Arabidopsis thaliana: one gene and its partners. The protein of the gene in region 4 interacts with the protein of the main gene of each other region in a pairwise test. Each region holds a gene or a part of one and is shown on either strand. Other genes may lie near its edges. The genes, in order: KNAT2, RGL2, ERF12 and BEL1.

Evidence for each region.
Region 1: the proteins of BEL1 (region 4) and KNAT2 interact in binary tests that used the Arabidopsis thaliana proteins (3 or more experiments, as listed by UniProt).
Region 2: the proteins of BEL1 (region 4) and RGL2 interact in binary tests that used the Arabidopsis thaliana proteins (3 or more experiments, as listed by UniProt).
Region 3: the proteins of BEL1 (region 4) and ERF12 interact in binary tests that used the Arabidopsis thaliana proteins (3 or more experiments, as listed by UniProt).

The regions. Positions count from the first base shown.
Region 1 is NC_003070.9:26,574,598-26,582,532, forward strand, and holds KNAT2 (homeobox knotted-like protein), read left to right. Parts: upstream 1-1,888; 5' UTR 1,889-2,037; coding exon 2,038-2,310; intron 2,311-2,550; coding exon 2,551-2,685; intron 2,686-2,758; coding exon 2,759-2,897; intron 2,898-7,059; coding exon 7,060-7,301; intron 7,302-7,392; coding exon 7,393-7,548; 3' UTR 7,549-7,834; downstream 7,835-7,935. UniProt on the Arabidopsis thaliana protein: May play a role in meristem function, and may be involved in maintaining cells in an undifferentiated, meristematic state. Probably binds to the DNA sequence 5'-TGAC-3'.
Region 2 is NC_003074.8:818,790-823,277, forward strand, and holds RGL2 (RGA-like 2), read right to left. Parts: upstream 2,864-4,488; 5' UTR 2,491-2,863; coding exon 847-2,490; 3' UTR 548-846; downstream 1-547. Other genes in the region: AT3G03460 (mediator of RNA polymerase II transcription subunit-like protein), read right to left, coding at 4,280-4,488.
Region 3 is NC_003070.9:9,949,906-9,953,616, forward strand, and holds ERF12 (ERF domain protein 12), read left to right. Parts: upstream 1-1,856; 5' UTR 1,857-2,028; coding exon 2,029-2,598; 3' UTR 2,599-3,200; downstream 3,201-3,711.
Region 4 is NC_003076.8:16,578,045-16,584,597, forward strand, and holds BEL1 (POX (plant homeobox) family protein), read left to right. Parts: upstream 1-1,891; 5' UTR 1,892-2,379; coding exon 2,380-3,237; intron 3,238-3,839; coding exon 3,840-4,231; intron 4,232-5,056; coding exon 5,057-5,117; intron 5,118-5,201; coding exon 5,202-5,726; 3' UTR 5,727-6,033; downstream 6,034-6,553. UniProt on the Arabidopsis thaliana protein: Plays a major role in ovule patterning and in determination of integument identity via its interaction with MADS-box factors. Formation of complex with AG-SEP dimers negatively regulates the carpel identity process and favors the maintenance of ovule identity.

The DNA of each region.
Region 1 (7,935 bases), on a different chromosome or scaffold from region 4:
ATTATATGTTAGTTAATTAAAAATGAGTCTCTCAGTGTTTAGTATAGTAATCTCAAATTTCAGTTCGTTACAAGCGTTATGTAGAGATGACTAAAAACAATATTTGTTAAAACATAACATATTAAGACAAGCATATAAAATTTTATAAACCATATTAAGATTATTTTGATAACATGTAATTGTATAGCATAAAACTACTTAGAAAGAAAGAGAAACAACCAAAGGAGAGTATTAAGACCTGGGATTCCCAAAATAAATAAATAAAATCCATAAGAAGCTAAGTAATCTCCAATTTCAGTAACATTTCTAACAACAGAAACAAATTTGTTCAAAACCACATATTGATGATATGAGATACAAAAAAGAATGACAATAAACTCCTACAAAGTTGAAGCAACCGAGTGGTACAATAATATATTAACAAAAACCTCAATACAAAGAATTGAAACCTAACAACACTAAATCACGGGAACAGTATGAACAATCCATGATGAAACATTCGAGTGGTACAATATTATCTTAGCAACATAATTATATGCACTTGATCTAATAATTTAGTCGTCACTTTTTGTTATTATTATTTTTTCTGCAAGACACACATTTTTTTTTTGCAATCATTTCTCGACGATAGTGATCATATAGATTATAGAAACTTGTGACCCCCCCCAAAAAATACAGAAAAGTTTAGAAACAATATAAATATGTGCTGTGAAGGCCACCGGTGGGGATTCAATACGATACGATCCAACGAAGTGAAATGAGAGAGAAGGAAAGTTCTGTCGTTTTTATAAGGTTTGATACTAAAACAAAGCTTTATGTCAGTTAAATTTCACACCAAAGTAGTCCGACGGATGTGTCAATCAAACCTGTCCATCATCAAAAAGACCTTTATGACATTTGTTTTTATTTTTTTTTGCGGAAAAAACGATATGGATCATCGGATCGGGTCTGGAGTAGACCCATGCAAAAATATAGTTTTTTTTCTTACAACAGGGTTTATAGATGGATTTTGGTTTATGACAAAAACTGCAGGTTCTGTTACTATATAAGGTAATGAAACATTTTGAGTTGATATTATACGCGACTAACAGATTCTCTATGAAAATAACAAGAAGTGCGATAAGTGGAGTGGCCACTATAAAAAATAGTTCCTAAGAGTGTGTTTAATTAGCAAATGACTGAAAGCAATTAAAAAACAAAAATTGTTTACTATGTTGTGATTGATAATGAGCACCTAGCTACCATAGACGTGTTTTACAGAGAAACAAAACTAGGTGAAAATTGAAAGAGTGAAATTGAAGTTGAACCGATCCGGTTAGACAACTAGAATCGTAGTAGCCTAGTAGGTGTCGGCCACCGTAATTGAAACAAAAAGCTTATTAATTAACAAAATTACCATCATTTGTTTTTACTGTCAAAATTCAAATTACCATCGTCTAACCTGTTTTTGTTAACAAGTACTAATTGTTGTCTTCATTAGCTAAGTCATAAATTCTAAAGGTTAGCGTGCTATTTTGATCATTTGTGCGATAATATTATATATCAAAAATAATCGTAACCATGTAATCGTACAGTTAAAAAAAGTGCTCTTGAATCACGAAGAAATCTTTTTATAATCACTCGAATCGTATTCCTTAACACATATGGCAAACCCTTGAAATCTTTCTTCTTTTATACTAGTACGACAAAATAAAATAAAAATTATGGTGTCTTTAAGAAAAACTTGTAAATTATCATAATAAACTATGAAAATTCATATTCGTGATTTTTTTTTTTTTTTGCTTTTCGTCACAAATCATTTTTTTTTTTTTTTGGTTTTTTGCTGAAATATTTACGATCATTGCCCTCAGACTACTATACTACGAGACCGCCTCAACTTGGCCAGTCTATCTATTTCCATTGTCTCTATCTCTCTCTCTCTTTGAAGCAGTTTGTTACTTCTTACTTTTGTGTTTCTTCATATTCTTCAGAAGCAAGCACAAGGCTAGGGATCGAAGAAGCGGCGATCACTGATCGTATCTCACTACGATCACATTAATGGATAGAATGTGTGGTTTCCGCTCGACGGAAGACTATTCGGAGAAAGCGACGTTGATGATGCCGTCCGATTATCAGTCTTTGATTTGTTCAACCACCGGAGACAATCAAAGACTGTTTGGATCCGACGAACTCGCTACCGCTTTGTCCTCGGAGTTGCTTCCGCGTATTCGAAAAGCTGAGGATAATTTCTCTCTTAGTGTCATCAAATCCAAAATCGCTTCTCATCCTTTGTATCCTCGCTTACTCCAAACCTACATCGATTGCCAAAAGGTGATCTCGCTGCTTTCGTGTTTTGTCTTTTCTTTTTCTTGTTGTGTATGATTTTGTGCTTTCAAGGTTAATTTGATTAAGCGTCAGGAATTTTACATGTATTCATCGTCGTATTTAAAGATAGTTCTCTTACTTTTTTTTTTCTATTCCACTTTAACCCTAAGATAAGATTGGAGAACTAGAGAGACTGTGTTTATATGTGAGAGTGATTTTTTTTTTTTTTTGGTTATTGATTGACAGGTGGGAGCGCCTATGGAAATAGCGTGTATATTGGAAGAGATTCAGCGAGAGAACCATGTGTACAAGAGAGATGTTGCTCCATTATCTTGCTTTGGAGCTGATCCTGAGCTTGATGAATTCATGGTTTCTCACTTTGTTCGTTGCCTTGAACTTTGATCTTCTAGTTTTTCTTAAAATATAATTTTGTTTTTTTGTGGTGTGATTCTAGGAAACCTACTGTGATATATTGGTTAAATACAAAACCGATCTTGCGAGGCCGTTCGACGAGGCTACAACTTTCATAAACAAGATTGAAATGCAGCTTCAGAACTTGTGCACTGGTCCAGCGTCTGCTACAGCTCTTTCAGGTCAGCACTAAAGTGATATCTATCTCTTGTTCGAGTGTACTTTTGATTTCTTGTTTCCTAGCTAGTGTTTTTATTGATCTTTGAGCACTATCCTCGGTTTGTGTGTCCTTTAAAATCCTTGCGCAAATTTCTCCTTACAGTTACAGATCTTGCGGATTAGAAAATCTATCCTCAGATAACTTTTCCTTTCTGTGCTTCAATGATCAGTTTCTTGGAATTGATGGAAAAATTGGAAATCTTCTACTGTTTTTTTTTTCCTTAAAGAAAACGAGAATCGATAAGTTGTTGTAGCTGAAACTAGGAGGAGCTTAGTAGATCCGGTTTAGACAACCCAAGGCAATAAAAGTCAGAAAAAAACAAGGAAACTCTAAAACCCTAGTTTTGTTAGAAAACAATGATTGATTCAGCCACATCTTTTATATTTGGTAGAAGTCATTCATGCTTTAGATAGATCCATGACCTTCACACATCTTTGTGACATTTATTTTCTATCATTAGCTATGGTTTAAGCTGTGGGGCGGATATTAGGGGAAAGCCGGTGGGTAGGATTTTCTCTGTTAGTGATATTTATTTTCCTAGTGATTTTGGTATGGTATACTTTTCTTTTGTTACTTTTATATATACTTGTATTATTATCTTCTCCTCTGTCAGAAGAAAATATGGGTCTATGAAAGCAAAAACTTTTGCGCTAGAGATTCTGATTTTGACGTTTCAGTGTCGTACTGGAAGTTTTTTAATTGCTTATTTCCAGTGAAAATTCAATCATAGAGAAAAAACCTAGTCATAACTTCCACTAATAAATGCCACTGATTTTTCTTGAGTTTGTCCTTGGCTTCATGTTTAGATCTCTAGTAGTATCGCTTGTTTTCATCTTCATTAAGAGACTGATGGGTAAAACAAAACTTTACTAGTTCTTGATTACTCCAACTTCTCTTGGTGAATGAACCAAAGTTTATACTACTTTTCCATAGAAAGTGTCAGACTTAAGTTTTATCCATGTCACTTTAGTTTTTACTATTAGAGAGATAAAAATTTATTGTGTATAATGAGTATAACATAAGATTGATTTGTTTTCTTAGTGTATGTGAAAATTAATGACACTAGCCCTTATTTTTGAATACATTGTATTTGCACCTAAGGGTCTTACATTTGAAGTCCACTGTGTTCAAATTACATGTACAAAATCATTGGTGTGATTAATTTTCACGAACCTATCTGACTTAGTAAACCAAAGAAGTGTCTTGATCAGGTCAAATAGTTGGATTTTGTGTTTCTTTAGCTCGAAAAAGCTAAACCAAATCTCTGTTGGATTTCAGTTAATCTGAGCTCATGCGCATGTAAGTCCATAAAAATGCTTGATGGCCAAGAGGCTTGTATATTCTGCATGTCGTGGTTAATGTGTCTGTTATTCTTGTATTCTTGTTGGAATTTTATGTGAATAAATAAATGATTGAAATGCATTAAGACACTTACACAATGTAAGTGAGGTTTACTAATTTGCCGAGGTATTAAACTAAACTTAATGGTACCTTCTTTTCCACCATTTGTTTTCTTAATTAAGCAGAATAGAACTTTGTAAGTATTTTACAAGCAGCCCAAATAAGGAATAGTAGGTTTCTTAAAAGAATGTAATTTTAGTTGTCTTTGTGTTGTTTTTGTAGCTTATATTGGTTAAACCTTTCCAACAGGGCAAAAATTAGTTTCTTGTTAATCTACACTAATCTACTTAGCCACGTTCATGTTGTCAGAATACGTGTGTATATTTTTTATAAGTAAAGTATTTCACTATCTTAGGGATTTTAAAGTAATCATTTTACTTCTTCATCTCCACCTGATAAGAACTAGCTGGAAAAAAATTGGAACTACAATATAGTGGAATTCAGCTTTAATAGTCTTCTTTTTCTTATATGTTGATATCAAATGCTGCTTCGGTTGTACTTTGTTAGCATTGTTTAATTCCGAAAAGTTGTTAATACTTATCAGCGTACTTAATTAATTGGAGTTTACATAGGGAATAATCTTGTCCAAAAGGTTGAAAAACAGATCACTTGCAGCTTGAATTTATCTTTATTGGACGAATGTTTAGTTTTTTAATGGTTTTGAAGTACCACTTACCTTTTTAGCGTAATCTCATGTATGATTTTGAAGGAATATATATTACCTTATGAACATCTTTTCCTTGGTCAATACCTTTTTCTGTTTCTTAAGTCCCGAGAAAGGACTTTCTTTTCAACTGAATATCTTAAACTAATAGTATAACTCATAATATGTAGTTTTCAGAGTCATGTGCTTTTGGTTTCTTTTCGTGCTAATATGCTTTAGGAATAAACCAAATCCTCTTTAGTCAACTGATGTTTGTCATAGCAATTGTGTTTACTTATTTTTTTCGTTCTCGCTTTAGTGTGCAATTGACCCTTTTCGTGATTAAGATGGTCAATCTTGGCCATGGTTTTTGTTCCATCCTCATATTTTCTTCTAATCATTTGGTGTTCGGATGGTGTATTGATACAATGAGATCCATGTGCGATTTTGTATCCATATGTGGAATTTAGGACTATTGTTTAAGATTATTCACTACAGTCTACAACTAGTATTTTTGTGTTGTAAAATGCATTCACCCTAGGTCCCTATGCATTCACCCTAGATATATCTTTGGCTGTGAATGATATTCTATTCATTCAATGTTCGTAGGAAACTCGAAAAGCATGTTCTTTTGAACAAAATACTCTGTCATGGCACATTAGTTACTTCACCAGTTCTAGACATGATAATACTGATAATCTGTTTGGTTATATCACCTTCGTTGATAGAATGGTCCTTTTGACACGCACAAAAAAACACACCCAAATGCTTGAATTAGAAATCTTTTAGCCCTTTTTAATTTCTAAATAGAAGAAGTTGGAGACAGAAGCATGAGGTGGTCAAGTGTCACATGGACTCCCGTGGATTACGTTGGTGGATCCCTTTATGACCCAATCGCAACACTCTCTTTTTAAGATTTGATTTGATTTTAAAGAAAAAGAAAGAGAAGAAAATAGGGGAGAGACATGGGTTTTGATTTATGTACAATGCAATCATCTTACGACTAATGTTTCTCCACATCTTTTTCTACTGTTGCTTAGTGGTTGTCATTTCCTCTCTGCGTTTGTTCCCTTAATGGGCCATGCAATTTCCACGTGTTTAACTTTTTTTGGGAGATGTACAAGTCTATCTACTTTTTTTTTATCAGTGCATGTTGTCTCTTTCGCATTGTCTTGATGTTATATAGGAACCAAATTCGGCTAATAGGTAAAGAACAAACCGAGTTACTATTGCACATACCATCCTCAACTAGCAAAGTTTTCATGGATAGGGTGTGAACTATATTTTGTGTGATTTGTCTAAGGATCAGCTCATTAGTGGTGTAGCAAACTACAACCTAAACTCTTTAGGGAGACTTTGAAACGATGTCTTTCTGTAATCACTAAGTTGAGAATACTAAGTGAAATTTCTATTAATGCAAATAATTTGACCATTAATCATGTTTAAACTCCCTTAATTAGGCTCCCTTTTAGTCGCAGTAACATAGGGGTCAGTATGGTATGGTCATAAATGGGGCATTATGAGAAAGTTCATAAATGTTGGGGAAGCGTTTTTTCCGGGGGTCACTCAAACAAGTGTCAGAAAGGTGATACGTGTCGTGACTCAGGTGGCTAGTGGTAAGTCCCAAAGGAGCACGTCAGTGGCAATGGAAGCTAAACTATTCAGTGACTGCGAAAGTTTTTGACTGATCATTTTTGTGCCCGGGTCTTGTAAAACCTCGATATTATCTCGCTATCCTTGTTTTTCCCCTTTTACCCCTTTCTTTCACCCTTTTTTTTTTTTTTTTTTCCTTTCTTTCACCCTTGTTCTCTTCTCTATGCTTTTTTGGCTCTTTTCTTCTTTTAGCTGCTTTAGCCACTTAGTCATTTAGCCGAGCCTACTAGTATCTTAGTGTTAGCTATGTTTGTTAGTGTTGGCATAGTGGTAGAATTTGCTTTCTACATTGTCAAATATGCTACCATAAATAGCACCACCATACATTCTCCTAGTACATTTTATCGGTATGGCACGTATTTGGCTAATACGTGGGAGCTAATCATTATTGAATCTTCTGTATGACATTATTCTCATGTATGAGCAGATGATGGTGCGGTTTCATCTGACGAGGAACTGAGAGAAGATGATGACATAGCAGCGGATGACAGCCAACAAAGAAGCAATGACCGCGATCTGAAGGACCAGCTACTACGCAAATTTGGTAGCCATATCAGTTCATTGAAACTCGAGTTCTCTAAAAAGAAGAAGAAAGGGAAGCTACCAAGAGAAGCAAGACAAGCGTTGCTCGATTGGTGGAATGTTCATAATAAATGGCCTTACCCTACTGTAAGTGTCTTTCTGATTCCACCGTAACCTAGCATACACTCATTAATTTATTTCTTCGACATATTAATATCCGCCTCTCGAATGTGTATAGGAAGGCGACAAAATATCTCTGGCTGAAGAAACAGGTTTGGATCAAAAACAAATCAACAATTGGTTTATAAACCAAAGGAAACGCCATTGGAAGCCTTCGGAGAACATGCCGTTTGATATGATGGACGATTCTAATGAAACATTCTTTACCGAGTAATGAAAAGAGAGACATGAAATTGTGCATTGTATAATTTTTACACTGTTTTTCCAAGAAAAGAAAACAGTAAAAAGCTTTTGGTAAATGGGGCATCATCGCGAATGAATGGAACCCGTTAGCCAAAACGGTCAAGGGCGTAACGAGACATTGTATTGGAAATAGTGGCAATATTATGTCACTAATCTTCCAATCATCCAAATTGATAGATTTCTTATTTGTATTGAACCTTACTTAGATAGCTGATGTGTCAACTAAATAATTTATTTTCATTATCCATTCGGGTAGAAGAATTCATTATCCATTCGAATTTTGTGACTATTTGGCTCGGTTTCGGAGCCGGATTTTTCGGATCGGTTTTTGGATTTCGGATTTTATGCCCAGCCCTAC
Region 2 (4,488 bases), on a different chromosome or scaffold from region 4:
AATCGCTTTTACTTTAAAAAAAGGTTTCAATGATATTATTGTGCCATTGGAGTGTTCTATATATAATCCGAACCTATCCGACCAAAATCCCTACGTTAATGTCGTTTTATAATTTCCTTCTTGACTATACGTCTAGATTGAATTCCAGAAAGAATAACTTCATATATGTTTTCAAAACTGAAACCCCCCAAAATTTAGATCCACCAACTCTTAGGTAGAAGACCATTGAATTTGAGGCTTATGATCTCATAAAAGTAGAATAATTTCACCTCGCATATTTTTAAAAGTTGATAACGTACGTCAAAATCAATTTGACATCCATATTACCTCATCAAACCCATAATAAAGAGAGAGAAAAGAACAATCTGTTTCGAAAACAAAAATGTACCAAAATATATTTCGAAGAAAATCTTTTAACAAAGGCTGACATCAGTCCTCGAAACTGAAAGTACATTTTGGATCCGCCTTTTCAGAAACGCTCACGTTCACTTCCCATGTTATCAACGAAACTGTCCAAATTTGAAAAATATATGACACAAAATCATTTAAATAAATTCATATATATTGGATCAAGTAAAAAACATACAGAATCGTTATCCTTCCATTTATTGAAAACTACTTAGCTCGATCTACGATACAAGATTTTTTACTCGTTCTCTTAACTCTCAAAGATACGCACAAGGTCCAAAAAGATAAAGTTGTAAACATTTAGGCAAAAAGGTTAAACACACAAAAACTTCGGGTTAAAAAGTAAAAACATAACTAAAGTTACGGTCTCTTTTCCTAATTTTTTAAAACATTTATTGTTTTTCCCGGTTTCAGGCGAGTCATCTCTACCGCCGCGACTCAGGCGAGTTTCCACGCCGAGGTTGTGATGAGTGGTCGCGTCTGCCACCCTATCATTAAACATCCGTCATTTTCTTCAACTCTGTATCCATCTCCGGTAGCGTAAAGCGATAAAAGCATACTCGCTTGTTTAAACGCGCTAGATCCGAGATGAATCGGGTCAAACCCAGCGGATTTCATCCGAATCCTCCACTGTGCAGCCGTCTCGTGCCGCTCGACCCGATCGGACCCTTCCGCCGCAACAACGTTGAGTATCTGTCTCCCTAAGTACACTTCTGACATAACTCGGTCTTGACTCGGTAAACTATAACTGTCTTCGAGCGAGTCAAACAAGCTCGAGTAGTAATGAAGCGCTTCGTTGAACCTATCGAGGAAGACGATTCCGTTGTGGTTCGCTTCTTGCTCAACCACCGTTACGATACTCGGTTTAATAGCTTTAACCGTATTGAGAAGCTTTTCGATTGAACCGGATCGGGCTAATAACCGGTGGAGCTCAAATACCGAATTAACCACTAAGGTTTCAGATTCGGGTCGGGTTTCGAACATTTCGGGTTCAAGATCCGATAAACTCTCAGCGGCTAAGCCTTTGAATTCGAATTCAACGCCCATGTTCTGAGCGAATTGAGCTAATTTCCAACCTAACTGTTGAAGCGAATCTGAATTCTCCGTCTGCGGTGGTCCGATTCCGGTGAGACGAAACGACGGAGGTCCACCGGGTCGGAGAGCTAAAGCTTGCATTAAAGCAGGCCATTGCATCCCTTGATTAAGCCCTAAATCAATGACGTGAACTCTACGCGCCGTCGTAACAGCTTCTAGAATCGCTTGGTTCGCCGTGAAATGAGCGAACTTCAGGTAAGGGCAAGACTCGTAAAAGTGCATCTCCAAAACCTCTTCGAAAGATGGGTTCACCGCCGCGCAAACGTCCGTCTCCGCCGTGTAATCACGGTAAATACGACGAGCCAAGGCTTGAGCAAAATACGTAGCGACTTTTCCCATAGCTCCAGCTTGAGAACCCGCGAGTGTTCCCACGCGTTTCACCAGCGCGTCAGCTAAGTTGAGATTCTCCTGGTGAATCGCCTCAGCGCACGCCACTAGTGCGTGGACAAGTCTAACTCCGGTCTCCTGAGAGTCAACGAGCACCACGGACCGAGTTGACTCGTCCGACGATTCGCACCACGATCCGAGTCGGATCCTCTTGCTGCTAGCTTCCTCGTCAAAGACTTCCTCTTCCTTTGGAAACGCAGAAAGACCCGGAATTGCTCTGAGATCGTATTCGGATCTATCCACACAACTTCGGGTCGTGTCAAGATCCGAAGAAGCCGGGTTGTTCAGCTCAGAAAGCATGCTCTCGACCCAGTTAGAGAGATCAGATGGGTTATAATGAACAGAGTCGTTTAAGACAGTAGAACCAACATCATCATTAGACAAGACCATCTCAAGTTGTTCAAGCTTCTGTGCTACTTCAGCCATCTCAGAAGATCGAACCTTGTAGCCAAGAACAGCAAGAAGCTCATCATCCATGTTGCTGTTGTTGTTGTCATCATCAGCCTTCTTCTTATCCGCCATTGAAGGACCTTCTCCGGAACGAGAAGCTGGTAGTGGTTTTGGTGGCGGATCCCATGTTTCTCCGTATCCTCTCTTCATCTTTCTTGTTCTTGTGATGGTGAGTTAAGAGACTGATGAAGTTGAAAAAAAAAGAACAAAAGAGAGTTTATAAGAAAGGAGTTTACTTTACTTCATGGGTTGGTAAGGTTTTTATTAATGGGATTTGAAAAAGAAAAAAAAAAGAATTTTGTGGGTCTTTGTTGTGATTTGGTTACAGACAATTTTTGTGGAAAGAAAGGAGATTCTGAGAGGAGCAATATATAAAGCACGAGGGAGTGAGAGAGAGGTCCAATTAGAGAAGTGACTGTGAAGTGTGTTTAAGAGATAAGAATCAGAGCATGCCACTATTGTTTGGCATCTGTTTCTCTCTTTCATTTTTTCCTAACTCCAAGAAATTTACTCCTTTTTTTTTGTAGTAATGGATAATTTTCTTTATAACTGTTTAGTAGAGATTTCTAAATCTGTTTAGTAGTTTTGACCAATGGAACTTTATAACTTTTAGGTTGTAGTGTGCTTTCGTCATATTTGTTGGTAAGATGTTTTTAAGTTGTGAAGTGATTAAAGTGTCTTTTAATGATAGTGTCATAGTCTTATAGACGATCACGACTTAATTGTTCTTAAATGCCATTGAATATTGTCATATTCTCGCTTACGACTTCGTTGTTCTTAAACCCAAACGGCACCAAATGCGTGTTAAGATAATGGCACTTAAGTGTAGTTTTTTTCCTTATGTTGGATAATGTTTATTTTTTCACTAAATAATTGACATTTGATAATCAACTCTTTTCTAATGACAACTGAAAATATTGAATTATACAAATTTGATTTTCTCATATCTTGGTAGAAAGTATATAATCTTTTCCTCAGTCGAAAGTGTATAATCATGAAGCAAGAATCCTAAGTTGTTAGTGTTTGGATAAAAATACAAATTTTCAAAGCAAACAATTTTTTGTTACCAGCAGGTTTAATGTCATAGAGTAATCAGTTTTTAGAGATCATATTAAACTGAGACAACATTAGATAACTAATTATTTTATTGGTCCATAAGAAAAGTATAATCAGACACAAATATGATTCAACTATTACTCTCTTTTTTCTTGACCAAGTTCTAACATTCTGGTGATGTGAATTCTTTTTTACCATAATGATAAACAAATATGTTTTTAGCTATGTATTGTTTCACTGAGATAAAACTACAGTCTACAGCTCAAGTATTTGAGGGGGACACATGAGCAACTTCTCATGTGCCACGTAGAGGAAGACATAGCCTACGAGACGTCCACAACATAAGGTTACTTTCATTAATTTATTGCATATATCTTTCAGCAGTTTTACATACACACATCATCATCATGCATAATAATTAAGGTTTTTTCGAATAGTGGTATCGTTTGGAAACCGTAAAAGATCCTTTTGGAATATAAGAAAATAAATTATAGAAAAATGTTGTGGGGATTGTATATAGGTATGGTCCCAATCGCAGCTACAAGAAAATGATATTCGTTGTTGTGTTAGAAGTCACATGGTGCATGCTTTTCCATTTTTAGTCATTTGATGTAACTTGTGTCTAAATTGGCCTGTTTTGCTTTTGTGGTTTACATTATTTGTTACTTTTTATTTAGGATCCCTCTTTTAAAATTCATAAGATGAGAGAATCGAAACTGAAGCGCGTCATGCTCACTCGCCAAAACTAGTCCACCTCAAAGAACACTTCATCATCGTCAATTTATCTTTCACCTTATTCACTACCTTTCAAGATTTAACTACATCACCAAACTACGAGTATTTGGATAACCAAACCAAAAGAAAATCTGAGTCATGGTTTCATTTACCGAATATTCAAATCAAAATCCCCACTTCTTCGCCACTTCTCATGTTCACCATTTTCATTTTCTTCATCATTCAAGAAATCTTCTAATGGTTCCTTCTCTTCCTTCTGGCTATTATTGTTGTTGTTATTGTTCCCCCATCCATTCATCAGCAACATCATCTCATTAGGGTTCATGTTACGCCCCTGTTCTCCATGATTCCCAATCG
Region 3 (3,711 bases), on a different chromosome or scaffold from region 4:
AAGAAAGATAAGAAAGCAACAAAATAGTCAAAAAAGAGGCGCGAAAGTGCAGTCAGATCAGGTGTGGGGAGAGAGGAGGAGGGGGTTCATGGAATGAGAAGAAGACACGTAAGCAGAGAGACATCAAAGTCATGATTTCGTGTGAGTGTTGAGTTGTGTTCTGTTTTTGTAGGAGGCAGCCAGTCAGTACCACTTGATGACGATGCTCCTTTTGTCCTAGCTGCTACTACAAAGACACGTCATAAAGCTCTTATGTATCACAGGCTCACGTGAACACGAAAGCCACATTCACATTTTTCTCCAAAATATTTCTTGAAAATGATTATTAGTACTGTAGTAGCTTATATAGCTTTGGGGTATCTCTCTTTTTTTTACTGTGCTTATAGGTAGGGTTAATTTAAATAATTAGATATGTCAGAGAGAGAGAAGTCAGACATCAGAGTTCGCACGTGTATAAATTTTGTTAGATATGGACCAATGCATTTGTTCAATCAAAACGACAGACCCTAAGCCTTGTCACGTGAAAGGAAACACAGATTTTTTTATTTATTTTTAAATAACCCTAAAACCAAACAAAAACATCTTACAAAATGTCAAGAAATAGAGAAGTTAAAAGACAAATTAATCTAATAAAACTTCAGTTGATAAAACAAAAACAAAAAACCTCTAACTAATTTGTTTTAATTCATTGTCTATTACTGAAAATTATAAGCCACTTCAATTGCTATAAATTTTTGACTCCTATGATTACTATATATTTTACACAATATAAAGACTTAAACTACGTCACTTTTTAGAGGGAAAAGAAAGAGCCTATGTAATCTACTCTATTAGTATAGACTAGAGAGTATAGTAAGTTTGCATAAGATGGGCTAATGAATTTTGGACAAAAAGAAAAACAAAATCAGTCAGAGCTAAAGATAGAGTAGTTGTGTCAAGTAACTTTATTTAATGATCTCCTTGTAGCCTTGTCCTCGTGCATCATAAATATATATGGGTGCCAATAAAACCCCAAAAGAGAGCATTTAAATACTTGTCAAATAATAGAGTGAAAGATACAAAAGATAGAGAGAGATGGCTATTATCAGTACTAGGGATTACGTCAGCATCCCTATGCCACAGGTTCAGTCAAAGAGGCGGCCCATTTTTCTTTCCTCTTCGTAAATGTACAAGATTATTTATTTTTAGTTCTTTTTTCTTTGATCATTTTGTATCAATGGTTGCTGTGAGAAAAAGCATCGAGATTGTTACGATCGAAAACAAAGTACTTGAATTATGAAAAAATGTTTGGAGAGCCTATGCAAAAATGATCTTTCTATCTTCTTTTTATAATAGCATAAATTTCATAGTATGGCATTATCGTCACTAGCAAGTAATGAGTTAATTTACCATAAGTTACAACGGTAATGAGGTTGTTTGGAGAGTAGAACTAAAATATTTTATTTCTAACCATTACCTAACAAATCTTTTTTATATAACAGAAGTTGTAAATGGTAGATAAGAAAACAGTATTAGCACTCAAAGGAATGATTAGCATTGTTTTCTTTCATGTCCTAGAATAAGTCCACTCACCACTAGAAGTATTCACTTTATGAGAAATCCTATTGTATTTTTTCAAATACATCAACTTATTAAAACAACATTATTTTGGTGTAGAACACCCACGTGTAACAATCTCTCAGCATACCACCGTCACATCACCCAACAGCAAAAGATCGAACGGTGCTTGATTCTTGCAAACCCCAGAGAAAACCTCGATCCTAGAAATCAAACACTATTCAGTTTTGTTTTTACTATTAACTTGCCATATATATTACGTATAGGCAACAAATAAAGATAGATAATCGTCAAAAGAAGCCGAGGATTACGGGTGTTCTCAAGCGGCCCTACAAACACACCTCTTGCTCTTTAAACTCACTCACTCTCTCTCTCATTTGGGTCAAACGAGCCAACAAAGCAAAACCTCTTTCTTCTCTTCTCCACTTTCTCTCTAGATTCTCTCATATTTCCCCTCTTGAGAGTCTAACAATGGCGTCAACGACGTGTGCAAGAGAGGTGCATTACAGAGGAGTCAGAAAGAGACCTTGGGGTCGCTACGCTGCTGAGATACGAGATCCTTGGAAGAAAACTAGGGTTTGGTTAGGCACTTTCGACACTCCCGAAGAAGCTGCTCTTGCTTACGACGGCGCTGCTCGTTTCCTCCGTGGTATCAAAGCCAAAACTAACTTCCCTTCTCCTCTCTCTCTCGACCTCAACCACCTCCCTTCCGCTCCCTCAGCCGCAACCGCCGCCGCAAATAACCAACCCCACCAACACCAACAGCTCTGGTTCGCTGCGCCTCCTCCTGTTCCTCCAAGCTCCGACCATCATCACCAACACCACCGCATTTTTCTCCGAACCGGTGTGCTAAACGACAAAACTTCAGATTACTCTTCTACAGAAGCGCCGCTTTACTTCACCTCCTCGCCTAACACAGCCACGTCATCGCCTGGTTATCAAGTGGTTGGGTTTCCGATGATGAATTCTTCTCCTTCCCCTGTTACGGTGAGACGTGGCTTAGCCATTGACCTCAACGAGCCTCCGCCGCTTTGGCTTTGAAAACAAACGATAAAGATGGATATAGCGGCGCCGTTTTGCCTACTTTTCTATACGGCGCCGTTTGAGACCACTTTCGGTGGAACTACTTTAGTTTCTTTTTTTAGCAAATAGTATCTTTTTGTTAGAGTTAGTAGACTTGTTTTTATAATTTAATCCTTCTTTTGTTCGTTATGTAAGAGTCGGAGATCGATTGTTGTTGTGAGATCCATATGTTGCGGAAAAAACAAGAAACTTCTTAATTAGCAACACAAAAACTTAACAACGTCTGAACGTGGATCTAATTATGTTTGTGGATCGTGTTACGACCGTCGCTTATGTCGGTTTCGAGGGGGTTTTAAAAATCTTATCGTATTCTATGGCGTGTCGTGAAGTACGGACTGACTTGTGCAGCTGTTTGCTTTGCTAGTGTCCTGTTTGACTCACGCGCCTCTCTCTTAAATCACGACAAAAGACGGACTGAGAAAAGAAGGAAACAAACAAAAGAGATAGAGACTAATGAGAGACGTAAATGCTGAGCAAGCGTGTGAGTTTGGACTGGCTTATTCACTTACGGACAAGATATGTGTATTATGAGTCTTGAGTTTGTAAATAAATTGTATTTTTTTATTTATTTTGAAAATTTTCATATGAATTCGAACAAAAGTTTTCTGATAAAATTAGAGGAAGTTTAATTGTCCTATAATTTTTCTGCTCATGTTTACCAATCTTATATATGTTATGCGTGTATACATATATATATAGAAGCATCTAAAAATATAAAATAAATAAAATTTTTGACGGTCCTATATAGATAAATATCAAATTCACATAACAAATTTATCTACAGAAGTCTTAAAATAACGCAAATTTCAGTAGTAAATGAAACAAACATGTTTGATATAATCAAATATCATAAGAAGTCAAATTAATTAACTAAAGGAGATCTCACGTAGCGAAATCAAAACTTTCATGCAGATTGTGAAGATTTTATGTTTATGTTTTATATGTAGAACCGGAATCGTGTAGTTTTATGAGACTATAAAACAGTCATAGAACTGTTACATGTGTTAGACACTTAGACATATGTATTGACTAAACAAAGATCATGCATTATGCATATTGCTTTCATAAAAG
Region 4 (6,553 bases):
TTTTACAACAATTAATAATACATGTGCCAAGCAGAAGAACGACTATATTAGTTTTCTATGTCAACATTTAAGAAACATTTATTTAAAATTTGAATATTTGATTTTGTATGTCAGCAATGTTTAAGAAAACTTTGATTTTTTGTTTTCCTTCTTTTGCGTACATATTAAATGGAATTTAATAGAAAACCATTAAATCTTGATATAATTAACTTCTTCGCCCTTGCAGTTACTAACAAGGAGACTTTTGTTTTGGTACTTTCTCGATTAGTTTAGTGACCGACCAACAACGTATTTTAAAACTCAAAACACAATCTCTTTCACGTACTGTGCGAAGTGCAAGTCGAATAATGACATCAGTCCATTTGTGTTGTATTACACGGGACTACGATCTCTATTCTACTATATATAATTACTATTAATTAAAATGTTTATATAGTTATGATATGGTTGATAGTAATTTAATAGTAATTGTTAAACAGTAGAGAAGTGACACTGAGACATATCTGAGAAAAGCCTGAACTCAACTCCTACTTCTGGTTTGATTTCTTGGGATTCGTTCTCTTTCATTTACTTACCTCTCCATCTATACACCAACATATATATATATATATTGGTATGTTAATTCTCCAAAAAAAAAAAAAACTATTTTAGGAGCAAAACTTTTTCACAGTTATTCATTTTTTAAGTTAACTTAACTTCTCTTCTTTGTTTGAAAATTCATTTATCATCAAATAATTCTGTTATAAATTAGACCTGATAATAATTCTTTAACAAAGAAAATATATTTTAGGAGCAAAATAGGCAGAGCCGCAGAGGCATACATGTATTATATATAACGATTATTTATGTATAGAAAGGGACACCTTTTGTACAAAATACTAGTTAAATTTGTACATTCACGTGACTGGTTGGCTAAATTTAGAATATTATTATTTTCAATTAAAAATCATCGTCAATGTTCAAATATTGCTTGAGATACGCTATGCTTCATAAAAATGTTTAAAAAGTAGTTCCAAAAAATATTTTCACCAAAAAAAAAAGTAGTTCCAAAAATATTCATTTAATAACAAAATTTGCCTACATAAGCTTAGCAAACGACACTAACACCAAAATTGATATCATTTTCTTAGATAACATATTGTATACATATCTACATACATACTAAATACATATACACGTAGATTACACGTATGGATTCAGCAATAAAAATCAAAATACTAAATACATATATACATATATATATATATATATGAACATTTAAATACTAAATTATGTTTAATAAATAATTAAATCAACGTAGAGATATGTCATATGAAGATGGCTTGTATAATTAGTTTGTGTACCGGGCAAAGGATCTCTAATTTTTGTTTTCTTTAGTTCAGTTTAATTATTTGTTATCTATCCAATCAATTTTTTTTCTAAACTGTTTGGACCAATGTACGTACGTACCATCCTTTTTGATTTTTTTTGTAAACTAAATTTTCGAATTAGCAGGTTCTTAATAATTGAACGAAGAAAATAAAGAATAGAGGTAGACACCTGTAGTATTTTCTTGGTCAGACCAATAATTTATAATTCAACGTCAAAGAAGAAGAAAAATATAAACCATTATTTCATTATGACTTACGTATACCAAAATACACAAATTAAATGTATAATTGTGAGGCATTTTATATGCGGGAAAAAATAAAATAAAAAGAATATTAATATTTCTTTTGAAAATTGTAAAGCATTTTGACCCACTTGTGATATATATATATATATAGATATATATAGAGAGAGAGATTAAAACATTGATGGCTAGCTATAGAGTCTATGGCAGGGTCATGATCACCTGTCTTCTGATCTCTGAAGAGATACCAATCTGATTTTTTCTCTTCCTAGGTTTAATTTTATTTTACCATTTTATAATTCTTTATTTTTGCCTGTAGTACAATTTACAGACCCATACTAAAAGAAAAATTAAATTTTGTCAAAGTACAAAACAAAGAGAGAGGTGAAGCCACACAATCTCTTTTCTTCTCTCTCTCTCTGTTATATCTCTTCTGTTTAATTCTTTTATTCTTCTTCGTCTATCTTCTCCTATAATCTCTTCTCTCTCCCTCTTCACCTAAAGAATAAGAAGAAAAATAATTCACATCTTTATGCAAACTACTTTCTTGTAGGGTTTTAGGAGCTATCTCTATTGTCTTGGTTCTGATACAAAGTTTTGTAATTTTCATGGTATGAGAAGATTTGCCTTTCTATTTTGTTTATTGGTTCTTTTTAACTTTTTCTTGGAGATGGGTTCTTGTAGATCTTAATGAAACTTCTGTTTTTGTCCCAAAAAGAGTTTTCTTTTTTCTTCTCTTCTTTTTGGGTTTTCAATTCTTGAGAGACATGGCAAGAGATCAGTTCTATGGTCACAATAACCATCATCATCAAGAGCAACAACATCAAATGATTAATCAGATCCAAGGGTTTGATGAGACAAACCAAAACCCAACCGATCATCATCATTACAATCATCAGATCTTTGGCTCAAACTCCAACATGGGTATGATGATAGACTTCTCTAAGCAACAACAGATTAGGATGACAAGTGGTTCGGATCATCATCATCATCATCATCAGACAAGTGGTGGTACTGATCAGAATCAGCTTCTGGAAGATTCTTCATCTGCCATGAGACTATGCAATGTTAATAATGATTTCCCAAGTGAAGTAAATGATGAGAGACCACCACAAAGACCAAGCCAAGGTCTTTCCCTTTCTCTCTCCTCTTCAAATCCTACAAGCATCAGTCTCCAATCTTTCGAACTCAGACCCCAACAACAACAACAACAAGGGTATTCCGGTAATAAATCAACACAACATCAGAATCTCCAACACACGCAGATGATGATGATGATGATGAATAGTCACCACCAAAACAACAACAATAACAATCATCAGCATCATAATCATCATCAGTTTCAGATTGGGAGTTCCAAGTATTTGAGTCCAGCTCAAGAGCTACTGAGTGAGTTTTGCAGTCTTGGAGTAAAGGAAAGCGATGAAGAAGTGATGATGATGAAGCATAAGAAGAAGCAAAAGGGTAAACAACAAGAAGAGTGGGACACAAGTCACCACAGCAACAATGATCAACATGACCAATCTGCGACTACTTCTTCAAAGAAACATGTTCCACCACTTCACTCTCTTGAGTTCATGGAACTTCAGAAAAGAAAAGCCAAGTTGCTCTCCATGCTCGAAGAGGTATATATATTTTCAAGAAATTATTTCATTACTACTATCAAAACTTACATGAGTTTCTTAGAAAATCTAATCCTTTTTTATTTGGTTTCAACTTATTCCTAAAAATGTAAAATACCCACAAGTCTTTTACAAATCTTTTTTTTTTTCCTTTCATTTGGTTTCAACTTATTCCTAAATATGTAAGATACCCATAAATCTTGTATTTTTTCGATTCTTGATTAGGTCCATATATTTCTTAAAGTTACAAATTTCTTTTAGATATTAAGATAAAAAGATTCTTTTTTGTCTTCATTCTTTCATGTATTCTCGTCGAAAACAAGTTCGATCGTATCAACTACGAAAAGATCAACCCTTTTAATTCCTTTACTCATTATTTCTTTTTTTCTATAGAACCAAAATATAATTTTGTTTTCTTTGCTTTGAGCTAATTTGGAGACTCTAGTGGTCCTCCATATTTATAGCAATCAGTTTCATCATCATAAGCCATAACGAGTTGTTTCTTTTTCGTGTATTTACTCATTCTAAGAATCTACATTTACACGATTGTGATTGAAATCTTTGTGAATGGTGTGGGGTAACGTTTTTTTGCGGTTTTTTGGCAGCTTAAAAGAAGATATGGACATTACCGAGAGCAAATGAGAGTTGCGGCGGCAGCCTTTGAAGCGGCGGTTGGACTAGGAGGGGCAGAGATATACACTGCGTTAGCGTCAAGGGCAATGTCAAGACACTTTCGGTGTTTAAAAGACGGACTTGTGGGACAGATTCAAGCAACAAGTCAAGCTTTGGGAGAGAGAGAAGAGGATAATCGTGCGGTTTCTATTGCAGCACGTGGAGAAACTCCACGGTTGAGATTGCTCGATCAAGCTTTGCGGCAACAGAAATCGTATCGCCAAATGACTCTTGTTGACGCTCATCCTTGGCGTCCACAACGCGGCTTGCCTGAACGCGCAGTCACAACGTTGAGAGCTTGGCTCTTTGAACACTTTCTTCACCCGTAAGTTATTTCATATACATCCTCTTAATATATTTACACATACCTAAAAGTTACTAATTGTGTCTTTCTGAAGTGATCAATGAAGGTAGAATCACAAGTTAATTGGGTATATTTATGGAGCTATATAAAACCTCTTTAACGATTTTATTTCATTGATAGTACGTTGATAAATAGTATGATAGGTTTTTTTTGTTTGTTACATGAATATTTTTGAACATATAAAAGTAAAAAAATATGTACATTTTATATAGAGAGATTGAGATTGACTTGACAAGCATAGGATACAATCTACCTTAATCTGTTAATTGCATATAGCTTTTTTATTTTCCTTTTTCTTTCATTTGCACTATTGGTGTGAAAGTGAGTGTACAAACATATACATATACACATGTATATATATGTATACGAACATATAAAATTAAATAAAATAAATTTAACTGGTGGATGAAAGACAGAAATAGAGAAAGGTACAAAGTGGATTGAGAGAGAGAATCAATGTTCTTTACCTAACACTAACAAAAGAGAGAAACTATACATAACTCCTTGCTTTTTTCTCCATGTTTTTATTTTGTTCTTTTTCTTCTACTTTTTATTTATTTAATTTACAGAAGTTATATGTTTATCATCATATGTAACACTTGTCTCCATCAATTCCCAAACACTGCTCAAACAATGAAACATCTTGTTAGTTTTCACCAAACCCTTTACCTTTGCTTCCATTTTATTTGCATCATTCTTCAATCATTTATATCCTTTTTTTTAATTACATATCCATTTGTCTTATATTTTTCCATTAAAGTAAAATTTTCTTATTTTTGTTTTCAGATATCCGAGCGATGTTGATAAGCATATATTGGCCCGACAAACTGGTTTATCAAGAAGTCAGGTAAAGAATAACTCCACTAATTCTTGATATATTCCAAAATTTATTATCCTATTTACTAAAGTTATAATAAACCAAAATTGTTAGGTATCAAATTGGTTTATTAATGCAAGAGTTAGGCTATGGAAACCAATGATTGAAGAAATGTACTGTGAAGAAACAAGAAGTGAACAAATGGAGATTACAAACCCGATGATGATCGATACTAAACCGGACCCGGACCAGTTGATCCGTGTCGAACCGGAATCTTTATCCTCAATAGTGACAAACCCTACATCCAAATCCGGTCACAACTCAACCCATGGAACGATGTCGTTAGGGTCAACGTTTGACTTTTCCTTGTACGGTAACCAAGCTGTGACATACGCTGGTGAAGGAGGGCCACGTGGTGACGTTTCCTTGACGCTTGGGTTACAACGTAACGATGGTAACGGTGGTGTGAGTTTAGCGTTGTCTCCAGTGACGGCTCAAGGTGGCCAACTTTTCTACGGTAGAGACCACATTGAAGAAGGACCGGTTCAATATTCAGCGTCGATGTTAGATGATGATCAAGTTCAGAATTTGCCTTATAGGAATTTGATGGGAGCTCAATTACTTCATGATATTGTTTGAGATTAAAAGATTAGGACCAAAGTTATCGATACATATTTTCCAAAACCGATTCGGTTATGTAACGGTTTAGTTAGATAAAAACCAAATTAGATATTTATATATACCGTTGTCTGATTGGATTGGAGGATTGGTGGACAAGGAGATATTATTAATGTATGAGTTAGTTGGTTCGTCAATATCACTTGTAGGATATTTTCATTTTGTTTTTTAAAATATATTATTGAGAGGTTTTTTTCTCAATCTAATACTTTTTTCTTAATGTAAATCATATATATTTTTGTTTAAGGAAATATTATCAAGTGTCTTTTCAAATCTGTTTTCATATTCTAGGACCATCTCAAACTATTTGGAAACATTCAATCCCTTAAAATTTTGTTTTTCTTATAAATTTGGTTTCAAAATTTCGAAAAGTAAATGGATATATAGTTTTTTTTAAAGTATGTTGAGTGTCTGTACATGACAATCGTTTACGTATATACTTGATACAAATTATAAAATTGAATGTGTGTAACTGTGTATAATATACACATAAATAGATATCACACAAACATGGACGAGTGAAATTTGTGTAGTTGGCATGCATTATACGGATTTGGAATCGAATAGATACGACTTCAGTAACGAAAATCACTAGACCATCATATTTATATAAAGACATAATTAGAGAGAGTGTATGGTCTTTGTGTTATTAATGACAAAACCTAATAAAATAAAGTTGACGACAAACATAATAAAGAAAGAACAAACTGACTATTGGACCATCTCGGTCGATCGATAACGTTCACGTGTACACTCCCGTATACATATAAAGTTATGTACACATGAAT